4 linked regions of the Caenorhabditis elegans genome follow. The protein of the gene in region 2 purifies or fractionates together with the protein of the main gene of each other region. This does not show direct contact. Each region holds a gene or a part of one and is shown on either strand. Other genes may lie near its edges.

The links.
Region 1: the proteins of Y17G9B.8 (region 2) and Y48B6A.13 fractionate together in Caenorhabditis elegans (co-fractionation; one large-scale study listed by BioGRID). This does not show direct contact.
Region 3: the proteins of Y17G9B.8 (region 2) and nol-53 fractionate together in Caenorhabditis elegans (co-fractionation; one large-scale study listed by BioGRID). This does not show direct contact.
Region 4: the proteins of Y17G9B.8 (region 2) and R05C11.2 fractionate together in Caenorhabditis elegans (co-fractionation; one large-scale study listed by BioGRID). This does not show direct contact.

Annotation. Positions count from the first base shown.
Region 1 is NC_003280.10:14,220,375-14,228,030, forward strand, and holds Y48B6A.13 (Diphosphomevalonate decarboxylase), read right to left. Parts: upstream 5,902-7,656; 5' UTR 5,886-5,901; coding exon 5,694-5,885; intron 3,538-5,693; coding exon 3,157-3,537; intron 1,271-3,156; coding exon 882-1,270; intron 820-881; coding exon 648-819; 3' UTR 565-647; downstream 1-564. Other genes in the region: men-1 (Malic enzyme), read right to left, coding at 6,217-6,354.
Region 2 is NC_003282.8:4,756,610-4,760,797, forward strand, and holds Y17G9B.8 (SGF29 C-terminal domain-containing protein), read right to left. Parts: upstream 2,232-4,188; 5' UTR 2,022-2,231; intron 1,973-2,021; 5' UTR 1,509-1,972; coding exon 1,435-1,508; intron 1,389-1,434; coding exon 940-1,388; intron 893-939; coding exon 705-892; 3' UTR 568-704; downstream 1-567. Other genes in the region: Y17G9B.11 (PID domain-containing protein), read left to right, coding at 1-202, 253-333; memi-1 (MEiosis-to-MItosis transition associated), read right to left, coding at 2,631-2,813, 2,865-3,056, 3,106-3,291, 3,339-3,818.
Region 3 is NC_003283.11:19,000,341-19,007,457, reverse strand, and holds nol-53 (Ribosome biogenesis protein NOP53), read right to left. Parts: upstream 5,503-7,117; coding exon 5,403-5,502; intron 5,165-5,402; coding exon 4,578-5,164; intron 3,223-4,577; coding exon 2,948-3,222; intron 1,619-2,947; coding exon 1,264-1,618; 3' UTR 742-1,263; downstream 1-741. Other genes in the region: Y39B6A.34 (COA8 family protein Y39B6A.34, mitochondrial), read right to left, coding at 5,670-5,754, 5,873-6,118, 6,341-6,438; tgt-2 (Queuine tRNA-ribosyltransferase accessory subunit 2), read right to left, coding at 6,632-7,030. UniProt on the Caenorhabditis elegans protein: May play a role in ribosome biogenesis, being required for integration of the 5S RNP into the ribosomal large subunit.
Region 4 is NC_003282.8:2,056,620-2,060,859, forward strand, and holds R05C11.2 (DUF38 domain-containing protein), read right to left. Parts: upstream 2,493-4,240; coding exon 2,377-2,492; intron 2,329-2,376; coding exon 1,584-2,328; intron 1,538-1,583; coding exon 1,259-1,537; 3' UTR 759-1,258; downstream 1-758. Other genes in the region: R05C11.4 (Protein shisa-9), read left to right, coding at 51-89.

The sequences.
Region 1 (7,656 bases), on a different chromosome or scaffold from region 2:
AATGTCCTAAATTGAATTTTTTCCGCGGATATAACTTAAACTTTCGAAAAAAATCTGTTTTTTAGAATTGATTCTGAGACAACACACACTTATAAATAATTACGAGCATTATAATTTTGAGTCTTCTATTCACTGAAATACATGTTTTAAAAAAAAGATAGTAGAAATGTTCAAAATCGAATTAATTTCAAACAAAAAAATTTTTTTCTCCGAGCTTTTTAAAATTTTCAGACATGGCTCTGAGACAACACAAACTTATAAATAATTACGAACATTATATTTTTGAAATTGTATGTCACTGAACTAAATTTCAAACAAAAAAAGAGAGCATAGATTTGTCAAAAATCCAATTTCTACGAACTTTTTAAAATTTTCGAAAAAAAATCTGTTTTTTCAGACATGGCTCTGAGACAACACAAACTTAGAAATAATTACGAACATTATATTTTCGAAATTGCTCCAGTTGTTGAGCCGCTCCGATCTCTGAAAATTCGTAGAGTTTTTATTTATTTTTTTCAGAATTGTTTTTTATATTTTTTTTTGTATATTTATCAACAAATATTAAATATCAAATTAATTCATATATTCTATCTATATTTAAAAAACAATAAAAATTCAACAAGAACAACAATAATTATAAAAGATTCCTATTCCTGAGGCCCGCCACCCATTGGGCTCATAATTAATTTGGAGCATTTCGTCGTCGGCTCCGCTGGGACGTCAAATTGCTCGGCGAGCTCTTTTCCAATGACTTGTAGATCTTCTGAAGGGACTTGGATAGTTTGGAGCACAGCTTTCAGGAATTGAGACGCATTTTCTCTGAAAAAAAAATATTTGTTTTTAATATTTTTCCTCAAAAATCAATTTTTTCCACCACCTACTTTTGCACAATAACACACGCATTCGGACCGGCGTCAAATGTATAAGCAGCTCGAATTCCTCCAATATTAAACTCTTCAACTGTGTCGATTAACTGCCACGATGCTTCATTCAAATACCGAATTGGCGGCGTAGAATCCATGCAAACCGCGTGGAATTGATTGCTATCGGCCATGATGACGCGTGCGAGCTGCTCGAAATTCCGTGAAGTATACGCTTCCTGGATTTGTTGGATTCGTTGAGGAACTATCGATTCAATGCGATGCTTGAGAAGTTGAGATGTTTCTCGTGATCTTCGCATTCCTTCACTGGAGCCCACTTTTTTGCGGCCATCGTCGAAGACTAGAATTATGCAGTAGAGATCTTCCCAGTTGGCGGCGGCTTCTGTTCTCTGGAAATATAGTTTTTATTTTTTTAAATTTAATTTTTTTAATTGATTTATTTTTAATTTTCCGTAAAATCGAAATATACAAATTTTTCAAATTTTTAGTTATTTTTTGAGAAAAAAATCGAAACTTTTTTCACTTTTCCAGGGTTTTATTATCTGAAAATTCATTAATTCAGTTATAATCTCTACATTTTTCAGAAAAATTATTATTTTTTAAAACCAGAGGTGATGAAGAGTTATAAAATTTTTCGAAAATTAATTAAAAAAACCATTTCTGGCCGCCAAATTAAATCGGTGGCCGAAGTTTTTCCAATGGTTGATTTTTTAAAGGAAACTTAATACGAGTACACTGAACTCTAAGAATGCGTATTGCACAACATATTTGACGCTCAAAATATCTCGTAGCGAAAACTACAGTAACTCTTTAAATGACTACTGTAGAGCTTGTGTCGATTTACGGGCTTTCGAACAGAAATTCGTTTCGAAAATCGAGCCCGTAAATCGACAGTCATTTAGAGAGTTACTGTAGTTTTCGCCACGAGATATTTTGCGCGTCGAATATGTTGCCTAATACGCATTCTCAGAATTTAGTGTTCCTGTAATAAGTTCCCTTAAAAAAATCAAAACCATTGAAAAAGCCTCGGCCACCGATTTAATTTGGCGGCTGGAATTGATTTTTTTTCAATTTTCGAGTATTTGTATAACTCTTCGTCTGCTCTGTTTTGGTTTTTTCTCATTTTTGGGAAAATTTTCAAATTTTTGATTGTTTCCGCTTTGTGCTCGGTTTTTATTTTCTAATATATGACCTTTTTCACTTAAATTGAGTTTTCAGACGAAAAATTCTGAAAAAGTGAACAATTTTTCTTTTTTTTTTCTCAGAAAATGACTAAAAATGTGGAAATTTTCCAATTTTTGATTTTACGGAAAATCAAAAAAAAAAAAGTTTTTGTAAAAAAATTTCTGAAATAAAAAAAACGGAAAAAAATCCTGATCACTGCAACTTTTTCCTCACGAGGGACGAGGAAAAGTGGTTTCTAGGCCATGGCCGAGGGGCCGACAAGTTTCAGCGGCCATTTATCTTGTATTGTTTTCCGCTTGTTTTCTTTCGTTTTTCATCGATTTTTTTCGTTTTTTCTTAATAAAACTGATAAATAAATAATTTTGCAGATGCTAAAACAATTTCCAAGTAAAAAAAAGTGTATTCAGTGGGCAAGCAGCGGTGAAAGTGGGCAATGTAAAATTATGGATTACGGGAATACAAAACCTAAACTTTTTCTGAAACATGATACATATGCTGCTTAAATGCTGAGACTACCTGATTTTCATAACGAGACCGCTGAAAAAGTTTTGAGGTTTCCAAAATTCAACTTTTTTGGTGAAAAAGTCGAGATTTTCGCACAAAAAGTTGAATTTTAAAAACCTCAAAACTTTTTCAGCGGTCTCGTTATGAAAATCAGGTAGTCTCAGCATTTAAGCAGCACATGTATCATGTTTCAGAAAAAGTTTAGGTTTTGTATTCCCGTAATCCATCATATTGCATTGACCACTTTCACCGCTGCTTGCCCACTGAATACATAATTTTTTTACTTGGAAAATGTTTTAGCATCTGCAAAAAGTATTTATTTATCAGTTTTAATAAGAAAAAACGGGAAAAATCTGTGAAAAACAAAAGAAAACAGGCGGAAAACAAAGCAAGATTAATGACCGCTGAAATTTGTCGGCCCCTCGGCCATGGCCTAGAAACCACTTTTCCTCGTCCCTCGTGAGGAAAAAGTTGCAGTGTGATTTTTAGAGCTTTTTTTGTCATTGTAGAGTAAAAAAAGTGCCAAAATCTCGATTTTTTGCTCCAAAAATTCCAATTTCCACTGAATTTTCTCGACTTCCCGTACCACAGCCAAACAATCCGATCCATCATCCATCTCCCCTTTCCTCCAATGCACCAATCCTCCATACATGCTCCGGCAGGCACTTCCTGATCCAATTCTTGCGAGCCGATTCGCTTGAGAATCATCTAGTCGTAGAATCCGTTGAATTGCCAATGCAATTGCAGCAAATCCGGCGGCCGAGGATGCCAGCCCAGCTGCAACCGGAAAATTCGTAGTCGAGGTGACGTGGAAATGGTAGAAGATCGGCGGAGGATCATTTCCATTTGAATCCGCCGATGATGCTTCTGCTTCTTTTCGTTTCCTCTGAAGTCGGAGAGCCTCATCGAAGACTGTTTGGTATCGTTTGTTGGAGCTCAGTTCCACTGATTTTCCATTTATTTCTACCTGGAAAATGGAGAATTTAGGAATTTTCTGAAGAGTTTTTTGTGGCTATTTTGAGAAATCAGTGAAAAATTTAAAATTTTTAATTCAGGTTCCGCGGAAAATCACGCAATAATTTTTCCTAAAATTGCAAAAAAAATTCAAAAAATAAAAAATTTCAGCTTGAAAATAATTTAATAATTTTACTTCCGAAATGTCGAAAATATATTTTTCAAAAACAAACCCTTATTTTAAAGAATTATAGATCAAGAGTCAGTGGAAAATCTGGAATTTCAGAGTTTTTTCTGTGATTTTCATTATTTTAAATTTGAAAATATCGAAAATATTGGAAAAATCAAATATTCTAATAGAAAAAGTTGTTTAAAAAAAAAACTCAAATTAATTTAAATTCCTGAAAAAAATTGAAATTATCCCAATTTTTTACATTTTTATTCGAGAACCCAAAGCATAATATTTTTCTCGGAATTTTAGAAAAAAGTCTAAAAATTAAAATTTTTACAAAATTAATTTTTTTGAAAAATGTGAAAACATTTAAAGGTGGTGTAGTCGAATTTTTTTAGTGCTTTGTTAGACTCAAAATTGTCTGAAAACACCGAATTTCATAATGAAACTTCTTGAAATCTTTTCAGAAAAAAGTTATGACGGCTCAAAAAATGGCTTAAAGTTAGTTAAAATCGGAAACTTGACTTGTCAGCGGCTGGACACAGTTTTTTTTTGAAATCACCGTAAAATTTGAAGTGTACAAGTTGATTATCTCGCGTTTTAAACTTCATTAAGGTATTTTAAAGTCGATGGACGGCGAGTTTTGGCTCAAATAAATTGAAAATCCATCGCCGTCCATCGATTTTTAAATACCTTAACCAAGTTTAAAACGCAAGGTAATCAACTTGTATACTTCAAATTTTACGGCGATTTCAAAAAAGTAAGTTTCCAGACAATTTCCGATTTTAACTAACTTTAAGCTATTTTTTGAGCCGTCATAACTTTTTTCTGAAAAGATTTCAAAAAGTTTCATTATGAAATTCGGTGTTTTCAGACAATTTTGAGTCTAACAAAGCACTAAAAAATTCGACTACACCACCTTTAAATTTTTTCACATTTTTCAAAAAAATTAATTTTGTAAAAATTTTAATTTTTAGACTTTTTTCTAAAATTCCGAGAAAAATATTATGCTTTGGGTTCTCGAATAAAAATGTAAAAAATTGGGATAATTTCAATTTTTTTCAGGAATTTAAATTAATTTGAGTTTTTTTAAAAAATAACTTTTTCTATTAGAATATTTGATTTTTACAATATTTTCGATATTTTCAAACTTAAAATAATGAAAGTCACAGAAAAAACTCTGAAATTCTGATTTTCCAATGACTCTTGATCTATAATTCTTTAAAATAAGGGTTTGTTTTTGAAAAATATATTTTCGACAAAATTATTTTCAAGCTGAAATTTTTTATTTTTTGATTTTTTTTTGCAATTTTAGGAAAAATTATTGCGTGATTTTCCGCGAAACCTGAATTAAAAATTTTAAATTTCGGGAAAAAATTTTTAAAAAAAGAATTTCAGTATAATACAAAATTTAAAAATTTTGCTTTTTAAAGAAAATATTAAATTTTGAATTTTTTAAGGTTTGTTTCAAAAAAAAATCGAATTTTAATTTTTTTTTTTATTAAAAAAAATGGTTTTTTAATATTCAAATTCATGAAAAACTACGATTTTTGTCTTTTTCACTTTTTAAAAATATTACCGAGACGCGAAAATTACGATTTTCGCGCCAAAAATACATTACCGGGTCTCGCCACGACAAAAATTTTTTTGTTAAAAACAAAAGATGTGTGCCTTTAAAGAGTACTGTAGTTTCAAATCAGAATTTATTGATTTTCCCTAGCGGAAAACTATGAAAAATCAATTTTAAAAAATTCTGAAACTACAGTATCTTTAAAGGCGCATCACATCTTTGCATTTTGCATTTAACAAAAATTCGGTCGTTTCGAGACTCGGGGTACCGTATTTTTTGCGCAAAAATAGCAAACTTCGCTTTTTTGGGTAATATTTATGGCATTTTTTGAGGGAAAAAAGTCATTTTTTCTCAAATTTTTCGATATTTTTCATGGAAACCAGATTTTTCAACAAAAAAAATTTCCCGCTCCAAAATTCCGCGCTACCGTATGCTTCCCAACTCCAGGAACCATCCGAATTGTCGTCTCCGCCGTCAGCCGATCCACGGTCAGTGAAATCGAATCATTGAGCGGCAGAATGAGTAGATCATCTCGTTTTCCCCAATACTTGACAAGTGCAATGTTCATCGGAACTCGGACCGTCGCCTCCGCCTCCGCTGCTCCATCGTCTTGGCTCATTCTGGTGGCAAAAAATCTGAAAAATTGCTGGAAAACGGAGTGACCAAAAAAAGCGGCAAAAATCTGGAAATCCAACAGGAACAAAAAAAAACTGGAAAAATGCCCTAACAAGCTAAATTTACATGTAAATTTATATAATTAAATTTTTGTATAATCTAAAAATCCATAGGATTATGCTATACACGTAGACATTAAGAACTTTGTGAAAAAAAAATGAATTTTTAGGGGTAAAAAGGTAAAATAGGGTGTATTTACGCGGGAAAGAGAGATGGAGAGAGAGACTAGAGAAAAATGCGAAAAAAATTGGGAAAAAAAACGATAAAATAAAAGATTATTCCTCGTCCATCGAGGTTCTTCTCAACACTGGAACCGGGAAACCGTGTTTCGAATCCTTGGCTGGCCATTCGTAAGTCTTATTGATCAGCTCATCATACTCAACACTGTACAGGTTCTGGCGAATGAACATTTCCTGGAAAAATTCAAATTTTTTATAAATTTAAAACTGAAAAAAAAGCACAAACTTTTAACCAATTTTACGAAATTTTTTAACAAATTTTTTGAGAAATTGCTAGTTAAAAATTAATTAAAAATTCTCAAAAAATCCCAAAATTTTTGACAATTTTTTAGGGGAAAATTGCGTTTTTTAACTTCTCATTTTCCTTTTTTTTGAGATTTTTTTCGGAAATTTCGGGTTAAAAATTGAAATTTCTCAAAAAATTCCAAAATATTTGAAAAATTTTAAGATTTTTGACAATTTTTAGGGGAAACTATTATTTTTAGAATCAATTTTTCACTTTTATTTCCAAGTTCAAGGTCAAAAAAATCGAAATTTTCAAAAAATTAAAATTTCCCAAAAAAAAAAAGAAGCAAAATTTCTCTTTAAAAAATTGAAATTTCCAGAAAAATCCGAAATTTCCCGAAATTTCCCGACATTTTCAACCCGAAATTCAGAATCAGCATACTTTAATTAACAATTTTCAGCTCATTTAAACGAAATATCGTAGAATCCGGTGCCAAGTACGCAAACACCGAAGCTCTGCGTACTTCTGAGGCTACAGTAACCCGGAAATTTTCAAAATTGAGCTAGAGACTCCAAAAAAAAGACGACTAGGGGCGAAATTTTACGAGGAACTCGAATTTTGCAGTGTCGATTAATCTGCGGCTCGTGTGTACTCCCCGAGGAGAAGTTTGCGTTGTTTTTGCAAGGAAATTCACGTTTTAGGCTAAAAGTAGTCCATTTTTGCTGATTTTTTGATTTTTAACGATTTAAATCACCTAATTTATTGATTTTTTAAAGTTTTTAGTGAAAATAAATGAATTTACTGCTGAAAATGCACTAGAAACCAGAAAAATCGTACTTTCACCGGAAAAAAACCTATGAAAATGAGCAATTCGAATAGTAAATTCGGAAATTCTCCTCGGGGAGTACACGAACCGCGTAAATCGACACACGGTCATATTTTTGCATTCGAAAAAAAATGTGAAAAATTATATTTTCAGCAGTTTTTTTCGGAAAAATCGTCAGAAATAAGTAGAATTTTTCAATTTTAGGCATAAAATTGTCTAAAAATCATTTTTGAAGGTATTTTTCAAAATTTTTTCATGTTTTTCAGCTAAAAATGCTTTTTTCCATGAAAAATTATTCTTTTCCTCGAGGAGTACACGACTCGCGTAAATCGGTACACGGCCATTTTTTGCATTAAAAAGTGAGGAAAATCAATTTTTTCGGGTGGGGAAAAGTCTTTTTTTGTCATTTTTAAAAATGTTTTTC
Region 2 (4,188 bases):
AATGGTTTTAACACGTAACATGGACATAGTTGTACTACACCAATCATTGAAATATGATCTTAATGATGTACTAAATAGTGACAAATGCTTCCGCATTCGTCGCTTATCTAAGAATCAAAGATGTCAATATATTTTTGAAACACTGGATTCACGGAGTCGACAGGAAACTGGAATCTGCGAATTTCGATTTTACTGCATTCAGGTGAGACGAAGATCTTCTCGAATCACTCTTTGAAGGTATAGAATATCTAGCAGATAGCTATCTCTAGTGCGCTTTCGATGCTGAGGAGACTGTGGATAGAGAATTTTTTGTTCTTTTGCCGTTGGGATTGACGGGATGTGACGAGTATCCTGTCAAAGGTGGTTATGATGTGAGAAGGAATGATGGGATGACGGCTATGTACTATTTATCATTGTAGATCGTGCAGATATATTAATCAAAATGTTTTTCTGGTTTTAAAATCACGTTAATTTTTAATAATCAAGACCACGCATTGGATCACTTTCTAATTTTTTCTGCACTCTCTGAATTATTTCTCTTGTATAATTTTCGAATAATGTTGCCGCCAATAATAACACGTTTTATTTTTGATAAGAACAACTTTTATGGACAAATAAAAAACATTGTGAGATTTATGAGAAGGAATTCCGGGATTTTTAGGAGTTACATACAATAAATACTGTCAATTAATTGGATTATGGCCTCATTTCTTTTTGTGGCCATTTCCCTTTTTTGGAGCAGTTGATGCAGTGAGCCCTGCAACTTCTCGGAAGGCAACCACGTATTTCTGAGCAACCGGCATTGGAGGGCAGAATCCTGATGCATAGCTGTCGTCTTCGAACGCTACTTGATATGGTTCTCGAAAATCTGCTGGCGGGGAGTGAACTATTCCTGGAAAATAATTATTTTATTTTTGAAACTTTTGTGAAAATTGGTACCTTTGTAGAAGCAAGTGGTTTGTGGATACAACGCCAACACAATCGCATTTTTCTCGAAAAGTGCATGCTTGTCTGATGCAGGATTCGCTTTCCATTTTGGGAGGGGTAACAAATGGCTTCTCGCGAAAACTGTCAACTTCTTCTTGTCATCATCAACGTCTCGACACTCATATCGCGAGTTAGAGTGACATGTGACAATATCAGCAAGAATCCAGTTTCCGTCTTTACTGAATGCCGCCACTGAATCTCCGTCGCCTAGTTTCGAGCCATCCTGTGGTGCAATAGCTCCAACATATTCTCCAGGAAATTGTGTGTCATGGCTGGTCCATAATGGAAGAAGGTCGCCGCGAACCTTGATCAGTTCCATTAAATCTCTCCGACTGATGTCTCCGGCCATTTGGGAGCGATAATCCATTTCAGCAACACGTTTTACTTCGTCCAAAAGATTTCTGTAATATTTATTTTAATTTTGAGAGATTAAAGATGAAAACGAACCTAATGAATGATTGTTGTGATTCCACAGATCGATGAGTGCTGGTGACAAAATGTGAAATTCCATCGAAAACCATGGAAACTTCTCAGTAAACCCGTTCAGAATATACCCAGATTTCAACCGAATTTGTGCACAGCATGCAGAAATCGCCGAATTTGTACAGATTGCAAATTTGAACAGATTTTCGAGGCAATTGCCCCGAAAATTTTGTTGAAACTATTCAAAACTTTACTTCAAATTTTAAAAATTTATCTAAAACTTGGTCTTCATTGATTTCTTTTGTTAAGATTTTAATTGATATTTGCAAGAAAACTTTAAAATCGTGGCGAGACCCAGCCGTACAACCACGTGCCCCTTTAAACAGACTACTGTATTTATATTGAATTTTTAATGATTGGATTTCGCAAAAATTAGTTATAAAAATTGTTTAAAAAAACCCACTTTACCCTTTCCATAGGGGTTCGGCTCATTATCTCGGAATTCTTGAAGTTTTTGCAGATTCTCGTTGATAGCGTCTTGCTTCGATTTCACTGTTGGCAGCTGGAAAATTAATTTCAAAACTAGGAATAAATAAATAAATAAAACTCACCTTTTTGATAACCTCTTCGGCGGTTTTCTTCTTCATTTCCTCGGTGATTTGCACATCGTTCTTCTTCCGAGGCATTTTGAAATTATGCTATTTTCCTGAACAAGGAAATGAAGAGGTGCAATAGAGCAGATATATATTTAAACGGGAAGAATCGAGAGAGACCTGATTACGTGATGAGACGGGGAGAGTGCAGACATTACAAGTCGTATGCTGTGAATGAGGCAATGAAAAGGCCAGGTTGTTGCGGTGGGAAAATAACGTATATGGAGTAATTTACCAGTGAAAAGCCGGGAATAGTTGAAATTCATATTCTAATCAATCAATCAGAGCAGTAATGCATTGTAAAATTATACCTCAAACAAATTCATCTTTGAAAAAAAATCAAAATAAATGCGGGCAATATACATGTCGAATATAAACAAAATAGTCGTGGGTTGTCACAATTTGGGCATTGGAGAATCTATATACATAAAACAACTAAAACAAAAAAGGAAAATAAAATAGGGGAAGTTAGTTGGAATATTCAACAGGAACCACTCGGTTATTTAAATACATATACAATAATACAGACTTATGCACATTACTACTAATTATAGGACATATATGGAGTTACTCGTCCTCTTCATCCAGTTCGAATGTTTCGAGAAACGAGATCAGGTCGTCGACTGGCGCAATTCCGTTTTCCAGCGAGATCATATCCTTTTCGACCTCGAATTCGTGGATTTCGACTGGCTCTTCGACAATCAGCACTCGCCGGTTCATGCACTTCACCGTTTGCTCCAATTCGATGTACTGAAAATGTTATAAATTGGAAATCGATAGAATTATTGCTATACAACTCACTCTATTTCTTCGGAAAGGATCCCTGGTGCTCGAGTTGTTCTTGTACACGATCCTCGTTTCCACGTGGCGCTTTCCTCGAATTGAACACGTGATTGATGCAGTCGAAGTCATCAGCCGGCCTTGTGAATCGAGTCCTGGCTCGAGATTTCCGTATTCCCGGCAGTGTGTGGTTCTCAGGAGACGAGTGATAGTCTGAAACATGAAAAGTTATTTGTGTGTAATATAAAACCGATTTACTTACTCTCTTCGTCTGTGATCGGATCAGGGTTGCAACCACAAAGCTATCTGTCATTTGGAACCTTTCGTTTTCCTTCTCTAGTTGTTCGAGCAATGCAAATAACGTTTGGAACGACATTTCATTGGTTGTCTGGATAGCAAATCGAGCCACATTTTGTCCCGTTTCCTTCGGTTCGGTCAGGAGAGAAGTCTGAAATGAGATTTATGCTTTATCAAAAATATGGCCAAGAAACTAACCAGAATCAAACTAGAGATATCCTCGACCGACAGCTTCCGGCACTGAGCGGCAAAATAATGTGGTCGTTGGTTGGGATGAAGAAACACGTGCTCGACAAGCGCTTTCTCCGATTCTCTGGTCGTGTGGAACCATCTTTGCGAGAAATAGTCGTAGCGCTTAAGACGAAGATTTTCAATCGGCACAGTCTGAATGTGCCGGAGCACTTTGACAGCTTCATCGCGGATGATTGTCTTGCTCGGTTTCTTGTCGACGAGCTTTGGAGTCTCATCGATACGATGAACGGAACAGTAGTTCTCATCTTCGACGAGCTCCACATCTTCTCCGTGCCCTTCGATAATTACATCATGATTGATGTTGGGTTGTGGTGGGAGGGAAGAGCAACCGGCTCGAGCGGTTTCCAAGCGATCTTCTTCGGCGTAGTTGGCGACGTATCTGGTCGCCGTCAAATCGCGAAGGACGGTGCGAGATGGAGCTGACATTCTGAAAAACGTTGATTTAAAATTTTATAAAAAATTTGAAGCAAAAATGAAAGAGAAAACTAAAAAAAAAGTAAATGTACTGAAGTGATTGGCAGATTAATAATAATTTATCGATAAAACCATTTTTTAAAAAACTTCATCAGTTTTTGTGAGTGTCAGCAAAGAAGAAGAAGATTCACGATCAAAAATTCGTTGAGCCTATATGAAATAGTTGCGCTGGTTTTTCGACGGGGGGATCAAATACGTCAAATAGGTCAAATAGACGAAGCATTCATAAAAAGTACAATATTCATTGAAAAATAGTTTTGGATTTGTTTTTTTGTTTTCTTCATTTTTTTGTTGAAAAAATAATGGTAATTAAAAGTTTTTA
Region 3 (7,117 bases), on a different chromosome or scaffold from region 2:
AATTGGCATTTTTCGGGGAAAATCGGAATTTTTTTGTTTTGAGTTGAAAAACATCAAAAATTTGAAGTTCTTCCACAGAAAAATGAATTTTAAATTAAATTTTACAAAATGTTAGGCTATTGCCAAAATTAATTAGTTTTAGACTAGAAAATCGAAATTTTGGGGTAAAAATTGCCAAAAATTCCAATTTTCCCGTCAAAAAGCTTAAAATATTAAAAATTTGCAAAAATTTTCAAATTTTTAGGTTAAAAATCACTAAAAATTTCAGTTTTCACTCAAAAAATTCAAAATTTGAAAAAATTATAAAATTTTAGACTAAAAATTGCCAAAAATTCAAATTTTTTAGACAAAAAGCTATATTCGAAATTTGACGAAAATATAAAATCTTAGGGTAAAATTTTCCCCAAAATTTCAAATTTTTTGGTCAAAAAATCAAAATTTGCCAAAATTATCAATTTTTAGGTTAAAAATCACTAAAAACCCCAATTTTCAGCTCATTTTCGCTCAAAAATCACCAAAAAAACACGAAAAAAGCTCAAAAAATTTAAATAACACGGCTTCCTTTGACAATATTCTTGGCACTTCGTTTCTCGACAACTTTCGACTTCAGACGATTCTTAATTCTTCTTTTTTCCTTATCACCACCAATTGGAAGCATATTTCTTCTCTGCAGACTTTTAGAAATATTTCACCTTTTTCCTGAAAATTCCGGCTTTTTTTTGGAAATTTCAAATTTTTCAGAAAAACAGTTTTTCATGATAAAAAATAACGAATTAACAACAAAATAAAAGAGTAATGAAGGGGAACAACAACGATATTTTTGGAAAAAAAATGGAAATTGGGGTGAAATTGGGGTGATTTTCGATGGAAAAATGTCTGAAAATTGGGAATTTTGTAGTGAAATACCATTGAAAATGGAAATTTTTTGAACTTTTAGCTAAAAAGGTGCAAAATTTGGCATTTTTTGGGGAAAATCGGAATTTTTTTGTTTTGAGTTGAAAAACATCAAAAATTTGAAGTTCTTCCACAGAAAAATGAAATTTAAATTAAATTTTATAAAACATTAGAATTTTGCCAAAATTAATCAGTTTTAAGCCAGAAAATCAGATTTTCAGAATAAAAAATGTCTAAAATTTCAAATTTTTTGGTCAAAAAATCAAAATTTGCCAAAAAAATTATCAATTTTTAGGTTAAAAATCACTAAAAACCCCAGTTTTCAGCTCGTTTTCCCTCAAAAATCACCAAAAAAAAACGACAAAAAATTTAAATAACACGGCTTCCTTTGACAATATTCTTGGCACTTCGTTTCTCGACAACTTTCGACTTCAGACGATTCTTAATTCTTCTCTTTTCCTTATCTCCACCAATTGGAAGCATATTTCTTCTCTGCAAACTTTTCATTCTATCATCCAACACGTGTCCCTGTGGCTTCAATTGACGAAGGTTTCCAGTTAGTTCTTCCTGAAGAAGGAATGGATCTTCGGCGTCAACGAATTTTCCTTTTCCGAGTTGCTGACGTTTTGTCAGTTTATTTATCAATTTTTCCTTTTTACGGACTTCCGACTCCTCGTGACGCTGCTTTTCCTCTTCGTCAAGCTCTTTGTGCAGTTGTTTTGTGCTGCAAAATTGGGGATTTTTGTAGTTTTAGGTGAAAAATTTGGAAAAATTAGTGAAAATTAGCCAATTTTTGGATTTTTAGGTGAAAAATTTGGAAAAATTAGTGAAAATTTGATTTTTAAGAAGAAATTGGCGCTTTTTTTTGACTTTTCATAGGAAAATATAAAGATTTTCAAATTTTTTGTGCAGAAAAAAGAATAATTTTGGCTTTTTTTGTTTTGGCTTTTTTACGAAAAATGTGGAATTTTGAATAAATTTTTGAATTTTTGGATTTTTCAGATGAAAATTTGGAATTTTTTTTTTGAAAAATTCGTCGTCCAAAAAAAAATTCATTTTTCATGTTTTAGCTTTGAAATTATCAAAAAATGCCGATTTTTATATCGATTTTCATCGATTTTCAGAGTTAAAATGCGCTGAAAATACAGAAATTTCCTGGAATTTTAAACTTTTTGGGAGGTTTTTCTAAAAAAATTTTCGGCCTTCTCGAAACTTCGAGCTAAAAACGAGCAATTTTCCATGTAAATTTTGCACAAATTTTCAGAATTTTCAGCATTTTTCGGGGATTTACTCGATGATATTCTACAATTTTATAGATAATTTCTAGAATTTTCACGGAAATCACCGATTTCTACACGAAATTTCCGTGATTTTCTCGTTTTTTGGGCCGTTTTTCTGGAAATTTCCAGGATTTTTTCGCATTTTCTCAAAATTTCCTGTAATTTTCAGGGCTAAAAACGAGCATTTCACTCAGCTCGTACCGATCCTGCTCCTTGGCCTTTTTCACGTTTTTCAGGTGAAAATTCGGTACATTTTGTGAAATTTTAGGAAAAAATTTGAAATTTGGGACATTTTTTAAAATGAAATCTTGGGTTTTTTTTAGAGGAATTTTGAAATTTTTGAGAAAATTTGGAATATTTTGGATTTTTTTTGGCCAAAGTTATGGAAATTAGGAATTTTTGGAGTAAATTTGAATTTTTTTTTGGAGAAACTTCGCGGTTTTTTTGGAAATTTTTCGAATTTTAAATAAAAATGTGGTGAAATTTTGGAATTCTGAAAAAAATTGAAATTTAATTTTAGAATTTAATAAACTTTTTTTTGGATTTTCAGAAAATTTGGATTTTTAGAGGAAAATTCGGCGGAAAGTTTTTCCGAATTTCCACCAAATACTCTCAAAAAAAAATTGTAAAACTTGAATTTTACGGATTTTCTACGATTCTCGTCGTGAAAATTTGTCAAATTTTCAGGTTTTTGTTTCGAATTATATATAGCATTTCTTCAAAATTTCCTGTAATTTTCCGGCTAAAAACGAGCATTTCTCCTCAGCTCGTACCGATAGACATTATGTGAATCCTGCTCCTTGGCCTTTTCCTCAAGCCGACGCTTCTCTTCTTTATCCAATTTCTGTGCTTTTGCCTTCTTTTTCTTTTGCTCTTTTGTCATACGGTCACATTCGACACGTTGGCTCTTTGGCTCCGCTTCTCCACCAGTTTTCATCGATTTTTCAGAATTTCCAGCTTCTTCTTCTTCTTCATCGTCTTTTCCGTATTTCGGATGAATTCTGAGTCCTTCAGCCATTTCCAAGAAGCGCTCGTGCTCTGTGGTCACCTGGAAATTTCAAATTGATAGCAAATTTTGGGATTTTTTTTTAGCAAATTCCAGGCTTTTTCAGCTTAAAAATTAGCTAAAAATTGGCTTTTTTGACTGCGAAAAAAACCCTCGAAAATGACGTTTTTAAAACAATTTTCCCATTTTTCCCACTGAAATTGGCCATTTTTTGTAGTTTTTGTAGTCTAAGCAGCTCCAAAAATATAAAATTCAGGCTTTTCCACCCGTTTTTGTGCAATTTTTACGGGAAAAGTTGTGAAAACCTTTGAAAAATGTTACTTTTACGCCACTTTTTAAATCAAGATTAAAATCAAGATTTTCACCGATTTTTTCACTAAAAAAGCTGGAGAAAAGTCAATTTTTAGTTCAAAATCAAGAAAAATGAGCAAAAAACCATGATTTTGTAGTCTTTGTAGTTAGCAGCGGCCAAAAATTGTAGTTTTTGTAGTCTAAGCAGCGCCAAAATCTAAATTTTAACGACTTTTAGGTCATTTTCTTCGATTGTTCATCATTTTTCTTCAATTTTTCGTTTTTGTAGTCAAAGCAACGCCAAAATGTTAAAAATCAGGCTTTTACACCTATTTTTGTGCAATTTTTTCGGGAAAAGTTGTGAAAAACGCCACTTTTAGGGAATTTTTTAAGAGAAAATCTAGATTTTCACTGATTTTTCACCAAAAAAAACCTGGAGTAAAGTCAATTTTTAGTTCAAAATCAAGAAAAATGAGTAAAAAACCATGATTTTGTAGTCTTTGTAGTCTAAGCAGCGCCCAAAATCTAAAATTTGTTGGTACTTGGACAAAATTTGACCAAAATCTCCTGTTTTTCACCTGAAAATTGCCGATTTTGGCTGAAAATCGTCCAAAAAAAATACAATTTTCATGTTTTTAGGCTCTAGATGAGCAAAAATTCAAGTTTCTCTCGATTTTTTTGGTTAAAATTTCGCTATTTTCCAAATTTTCTAGATGAAAATGCAATTTTCAGAGCAATAAAACTCGAATTTCAACAATTTTTGAGCCAAATTCGTCGACTTTTCATATTTTCTCTGGTTTTTCACCAATTTTCGCCAATTTTTTCTCTAATTTTCCTGTTTCTCATCTATTTTCTGCGATTTTCGCCAATTTTTTCAGCAAATCAGTTGGATTTCTCTCTATTTTCGCTAAATTTCCATTTAAATCGCTCCAAAAAATTTTGGTAGCAGCTGCTTTTTGTAGTTTTTGTAGTCTAAACAGCGCCAAAATCTAAATTTCAACAATTTTTAGGCCATTTTCTTCGATTTTTCGACCATTTTTCTCGGATTTTCTCCAATTTTTCTCAAATTTCCAGCCAATTTCTTCCTTCTCAACGCCTACACACACCTTCTCCCACTGTGGCTCAATTCCGGCTTTAATCTTCGCCTCGTGATCAATCAATTTCTGTTCTTCTCCGGCAATTTTCGCCACATATTCCTGATATTCTGCACTTTCTGGATTATAAGAAGCACCTCCTTCGGCAATTTGTACTGCTGGAAGCAGACTTGTAATCGATTTTCCTGGCGTTTTCGGCTGCTTTTTCTTCACAACTTTCAGAAAATGCTCTGCGGCTTCTTGATTCTCAAGCTTAGATTTCGGAATCTTCGGCGTCAAATCAGTCGTCCAAACGTCGAAATTCTTCTTTTTCGCCGCCGGCGCCGCTGCTTTTGGCCCCTTTTTCAGCGCCAAAATCGCGTTGCCACGTGGCAATTTGGCGGGTTTTTTCAGAATTTTCGATGTGGTGGATGGTTTTGGAAGTGTGACATGCTCCTGTGTGATGTTTTTGGTGATTTTTTCCAACGCGGCCTGCTGCTTTTTCGTCAGTTTCGGCACGACTGGCTTGTTGGCGGTGGCGGTACGATCGACAATGAACAGATCTTCGTCTTTCATCTCAGAAATGACACCTCCAGTTGCTGCCTGACGGGATTTGATGTCTGAAAATCGGAAAAATTAGTGAAATTTAGCCTAAAAACGTGAAAAAATTGAGAATTTTTGCCTAAAATTAGCTTAGCAGCGCCAAAATCATATTTTCGCTCAAAATTAACCAAAATCGCCGATTTTTGTCGCAATTTTGAAAGAATTACCATGTTTAATGGAAATTTTTGGTTTTTTCGTCAAAATACTGGAAATTTCGATGATTTTTCAGCGACAATCGCTCGAAAATAAACTTACGAATCGAATCCTCAATATCATCGATATTCGTTCCCTTTCTCCAATATTTCTTGTTGTGGCGTGAGCCCTTCGCGGCTCCAGTACGTTTTCCAGCGACCATCTGAATGCGGAAATTGGCAAAAAAGTGGAAAAAAGGTTGAAAAAGGTAAAATTAGGGTGGAAAACCCGTTGAAAATTCAAGAAATACGATAAAAAATCAAGAAAAAACCCATTTTTATCGGGGAAAAAGCAACGAAATCAACTAAAACTACCCAAAAAATCTACAAATTAACGCCTCGCCATTCGGAAAAATCGGACAACGTTGACTTTGAGTGCTGGCCAAATCAGTTGCAGGTTTCGGCGGTACCATTCTCTGAAAATATTGATTTTTTACATGAAAAATAGCAATTTTCATGGATTTTAATCGATTTTTCGCGAATTTTCATCAATTTTAATCAATTTTATCCGATTTCCACCGCATTTTCACCCACTTATTATAGGCCATCATCGCCACGTGTCGATCATTCAAAAAATCGCGATAAAACTCGCTGAGCTCGTTCGCCGACACGTGTTCCAGTCTTCCAAGCTCTTGCTGCTTTCGCTCGACAAAATCCGACTTTTGCCGGTCGAACAGTTGATTGTGTTCGGCCCAAAAATCCGAATTCCACTGATTCAGCTCTTCCCGAGCCAGCCGATACTGCCGCTCGAGTTCCGACTCATTATCGACGCGGCGGAGCCTGGAAAATCAATAATTATAATTTTTAAAACAGATTTTTGGCAAAAAATATGGGAAAATTTCGCTGAAAACCGACGAAAATTGATTAAAATCTAGTTTTCGTTAACAAATGGAAAAGTGCGCGGAGGTGTTGCGTCACCAAACTCCGCCCACTTTTCCGTGCGGCAGCGCTAAAAATTGCGAAAATTATTTATTTTCAGCGTATTTTTCAGGATTTTCTCACATAATTTTGCGAATTTTCGATAAATTATCCGGCGGTCCAACCCAATCGAATCGGCGATCCATTCGGACATTTGATGAGGAGGAGGAAATCGATGACATCTGGGAAATTAGGCTGAATTTTGGGGAAATAGGGAAAAAATTATAGGAAATATATAAAAAACCGGAGTTTTTACCGGGAAAATTGCAATAAAACGCTGAATAAAAGGTGTTTAATTAAATTAAGAAACCAACAAGTGAAAAAATAACAAGAATAGAGTATATAAAATCAACAAAAAAAATTTGAAAAAACCAATCACAATCCTTCAGAATTCTCCAACGAGCTCCGAATAAGCTTAAACATTTTATCATACTCTGTCATATTATGAATAACTAATAAAATCGAAGCCAGAAGCTCTCGGGTGTTCAGAAGGTGTTGTAGGTATCCTTTAGTGTATTTTGTGCACGTATAGCAGGCGCATCCGTCGAAAAGTGCGGTAAAATCGTCGGCGAACTTCTCATTATTGAAATCCACTACTTCATATTTCGAAGACGTCGGAAAATCGTCTGAAAGACAGAACGCGTGGCCTTCTTCGGCCAATTTAACTGGAAATGACGAGTCGAACAGATCGATTCCTTGTTGGACGAGGAAAAGCACGGTTTTTGGGTTGAAAGGTCCTGAGATACATCGGAGTTTTGTAGGTGGAAGTGGGCTCTGGAAAAAAATGCATGATTTTTTGGGGAAAAATCGACCATTTCCGCTAGAAATCCGGGATTTTCAGTTAAAAATCCGAGGAAATTG
Region 4 (4,240 bases), 2.7 Mb from region 2:
CAAATTTCGCACGGAAATAGTTACAAATAAAAAAAAATCAATATTTTCAGGTAAACGGATCCCGTAGGACACCTCCTCAAATCTCCTAATCTTCCTTTTTTTTTCTAAAAAATTATAAAAAAAATCCTCTCTTCAAATTTAACGGGTCTTGACACGAAGTACTCTCACATTTTAGCATGTTTTTTTTAATGTAAGATATTGAATTCCCCGCCCCCCGGATCATTTGCTCAATTTCTTCTATGAATTTATTGATTTTTTTTCAATCACCCGGCTTCTTCAATTTTTCTGTATTTTTGTGATTTTTTTCGAATTTTTTGGTTAAAAATTCATCATTATTCGGTGCTTTTTCTCATGTGCTTCTTTCAAAATTCTTCCATGTTTGTTGGAATATATGGAATTTTTATGTAAAAATCTTCGATCTCTGCGCTTTTTGCTTCAATAAAAAAATTTAATACCGCGGAAACATTCGTTTGAAGAAAATTTCTTAATTAAGAAAAAGTTCAATTATCACCTTTTCCAGCAAGTTTCCAGCTTGAAATTTTTTATTTATTTAATTATTCAATCATTTCTCATAGTGAGACTTATTATTGATTTATGCTTTCATTTTGTCAAAGTGCGTCCATTTTGTATATATATATATTTTTTTTTTTTTTATGTTGCACAATATTTTCAGGTTAAACAAATATTTAGATACATTTAACTTTACCGTAAAATATGAAAAGGTGCACAGTAAATTGAGAATAATTAAGAAATAAATGTTTAAATTTATTATAAGTGAATTTATTTATTTATAAAAATAGTACGTGAAATATCTATATCCACGCCATTAAAAATTATATTTAAACGTACAAAAGATTCATGCACATGAAAGTATTGTTTAAATTAGGGTTCCCAGCTGAGTGAGGCGCAAAATGCGGGCCTCACGCCGGCCTCACGCCGGCCGGCCTTCGCCTTCGCCGTTCGCCGCTTTCAATAATAATGACGTGAATTTTAAATTTTAATTTTCAAAAATTCGTTGAAAATTTAGAAAAAAAATATAAGAAATGAAAATAAAAGTTTATGTGTAATTCAGTGAAAGGCGAGAGTGACGCCGTGAGGCCGGCGCGGCGACCGCTGAGGCGGGCGAAGGCGCCTTTGCGGCGACCTCATGGGAGCCCTAGTTTAAATCAGGTGAAAAATTAATATTTGAAAAAAAAATCATTAGGGACAACTTTTCGTCCCGTTGGCGAGGAACAGGGAAGTGACCTTTACAACAGCTCTAGCACCTAGCCGGACTAGATTCCCTCGGAATAGCCGGACTAGATTCCCTCGGAATACGATTAAACATGAATTTTTTAAGATTTTGATAATATCGAATTTGTAGATCATCTGTGTCGTTCATGCAATTGAAAAACCAAATGCTAGGTTGATTATTTGTAGAATCGGTAACTATGCGAAACGGAATTCCCAAAAATCCTTCTTGAAATATAGAATTATTTACGTCACTGTTCACAAATGTGACCTTGAACTGGAGAAAGTCCGGTGAAACTAGGAACATCTGAAATTATTTTTTTTTAAAAATTACATGAGATATTCGAACTCACATCTCTCAAATATATAACATTTTTCAATGATAACGAATCCAAAATTATGTCAACTTTTCTGAAGTGAACAAGATTTTCAACATCACACTTGATAACACGCTTAATAATTGTCAACTCTTTCGCATTCCTCCATTGTTCCATGACCAAAAACTCTTCAATGCTCCATACATCACTTGCAGGTACGTCGAAAGATGTTCCAAACTCAATTTTGTTCAGCTTAGAGGGATCCACGGATTGGAGCAGTTGCACTATGGTTTTTTGGTTTCTTGTTGTGACAACCAACTTTTCCACTGGCAGCAATCGACCCAGCGAGGCGTGCAAATCTTTGAACGATTTCAAAAATCGATTCTCATTCTGGTCCCAGATTGAATGACTTTCTGTTTCCTGGGGATTCCCCTCAATTTCATCCATGTATTTTTTTTCTTCTTCCGTAACATCCTTGAAACTTGACTCGCTGGTTTCATCAACTTGCATAAAATTCATTTTAAGTTCTTCCAAAGCAGATTTTTGATTTTTCAAAATAAGGAACAAGTCGTTTGAAAAGTTGCCGTAATCCAACTCGCTAGATTTTCTGGATAATCTTGAAGCCTTATATGAAACTTTTCGGTTTGTGGATTCGGTAAACATCTCAAGAAGTGCGCACCCAATGCTTTGAACATGAATGCCGATTTTGAGTAATTTATGGTCTGGTTTGATAAGGTCGATGCACTGACGGCTTCCATAAGAAATTTTACGGAGCACTTGTCTGAAAAAATAAAATTCAAGCTAAAAAAAATCAAAAGACTTTACATACATATCAAAAAAATCGAGACGTTCAACAACGCTGTTCATAATCACAGTGTTGTAGAACCACAAAGTGCTTGATATCGATGAGCCAGAAACTTCAGACAAAAGCTTCGTTTCATCCATTGTCAGCTGCTCTAGCTGGTTCTGAATAGTTGCATTGTTAACAATAATTTCGTTTCGTGCAAGTATTACACTGTAGGAGAAATAAAATATGCCTGTTCTGTGCTAACTCTAGCTTTTTCTCGTGTCGGGCCATAAATTGAGCAAGATTTTGGCAAAACTTGGTTTAGGTTGCTCTTGATCTGCCACTCTTATCTAATTAGGAAATAATGTTAATTGGACATTAAAAAAGACAGAAGTGAAATGGAAGATCAGATTTTTGGCTACATGAGTTTTTTTGGGGTTACCTGGAACTTAGCAGAATAAAAAAGAATTTAAAAATGATTGCAATGTTCCTATTCGTGTATTTTTTTTTTTCGAAAGTTTTCGAAATTTTTTGTGATGTCTCATTATGAAATTCGGTGGTTTTGGACCAGTTTTAGTCTATTTAAGCAAAATATCCACAAACTCTACTCCCCCTTTAAGTTGATTCACAATTTGGAGAAAAATGCAAATTTAACGAAAATCTGAACTTTTGCCATGATGTCAATGTTATGCCGCAGTGACCGAAAGTTGAAATAATTTAATTCGCACTCTAGTTTGCATGTGGTAATTGGTACATTCAATTTCTAAGTCACAACATCTTGACAGTTTTTCCACACAGCAGGACACACGAATTCTTTTTCAGCATCAGATTTTGTCAGCTCCAAAACTGTTGTACAGGCTCACCTGCTAAAGGTCACTCTCTCGCAAAATATGTAGGAGGCAGTTATATTGCCTGTGTATCTCTACAAACTCAACTCTCTCTATACGCTCACAGGCCACTCCCGTTGTGGGGGAAAAACGGTCAAGATGTTGTGACGTAGAAATTGTAGGTACCAACTATGCTCACTTACCAATTATCAACATGCATAGTCGGTACCTTTTCACTAGTCAAGAACATTGATCACATAGAGTCTACAAATTTTCTGACCGAATATATGTTAATTGGAAATAAAAGAAAAGAGCCAAACTTTCGACGCTTTCACTAATTAAATAATTTTTCTGGGCTTCTTTCCGTTAGTTTTTCGTTGTTCTTTTTGTTGCATAGATTGCATAGCAAAAATAATTTATTCATAGGAAAATTGACAACTGACAAAATTGCCGAAAAAAAATCTAAATAACCCCTATGCAAATTTAGCTATTTACCTGTTAAGTTTTCCAGGTTTTCATAAATTCCCCAAATCCAAGTACTGCTCTAAAACAAATAATCTAAAAATTGTCCAGCTTGAAAAACAAATACCCATCTTCCCAACGTCTTCCAGGAAATTCTAACCGCAATAATATTTTCCTGCATTGCATCCAGATGTTAGTTATTGGAAATATATGAACATGCGAAACGGAAACCAATATTTTCTTGGAACATCTTAAAATGAATGAGATTAGTTTTTCTTTGTATAGAGCTTCTTTACACCTATTACCCTACTCATATGAGTTGATTAAATGTATGGGTACTGTAAGGGTACGGTAGTTAAACTCAAAACTGAACTGTTATTATAATTCTTGCCTACTAATATTTACTGTTGAATTTAGTCATTACGGCCCATTTTCTATTATTTAAAGCAAAAAAATTGACTCTACTCCAGTGGTGGGCGGCAAACGATTTTTTCCGGCTAATCAGCAAATTACCAGAATTGAAATTATAGGCAAATCGGCCAACCAGAAAATTGCCGATTTGCCGGAAAAAACACTTCCGGCAAATTGATATCCGACAAATCGGCAAACCGGCAAAT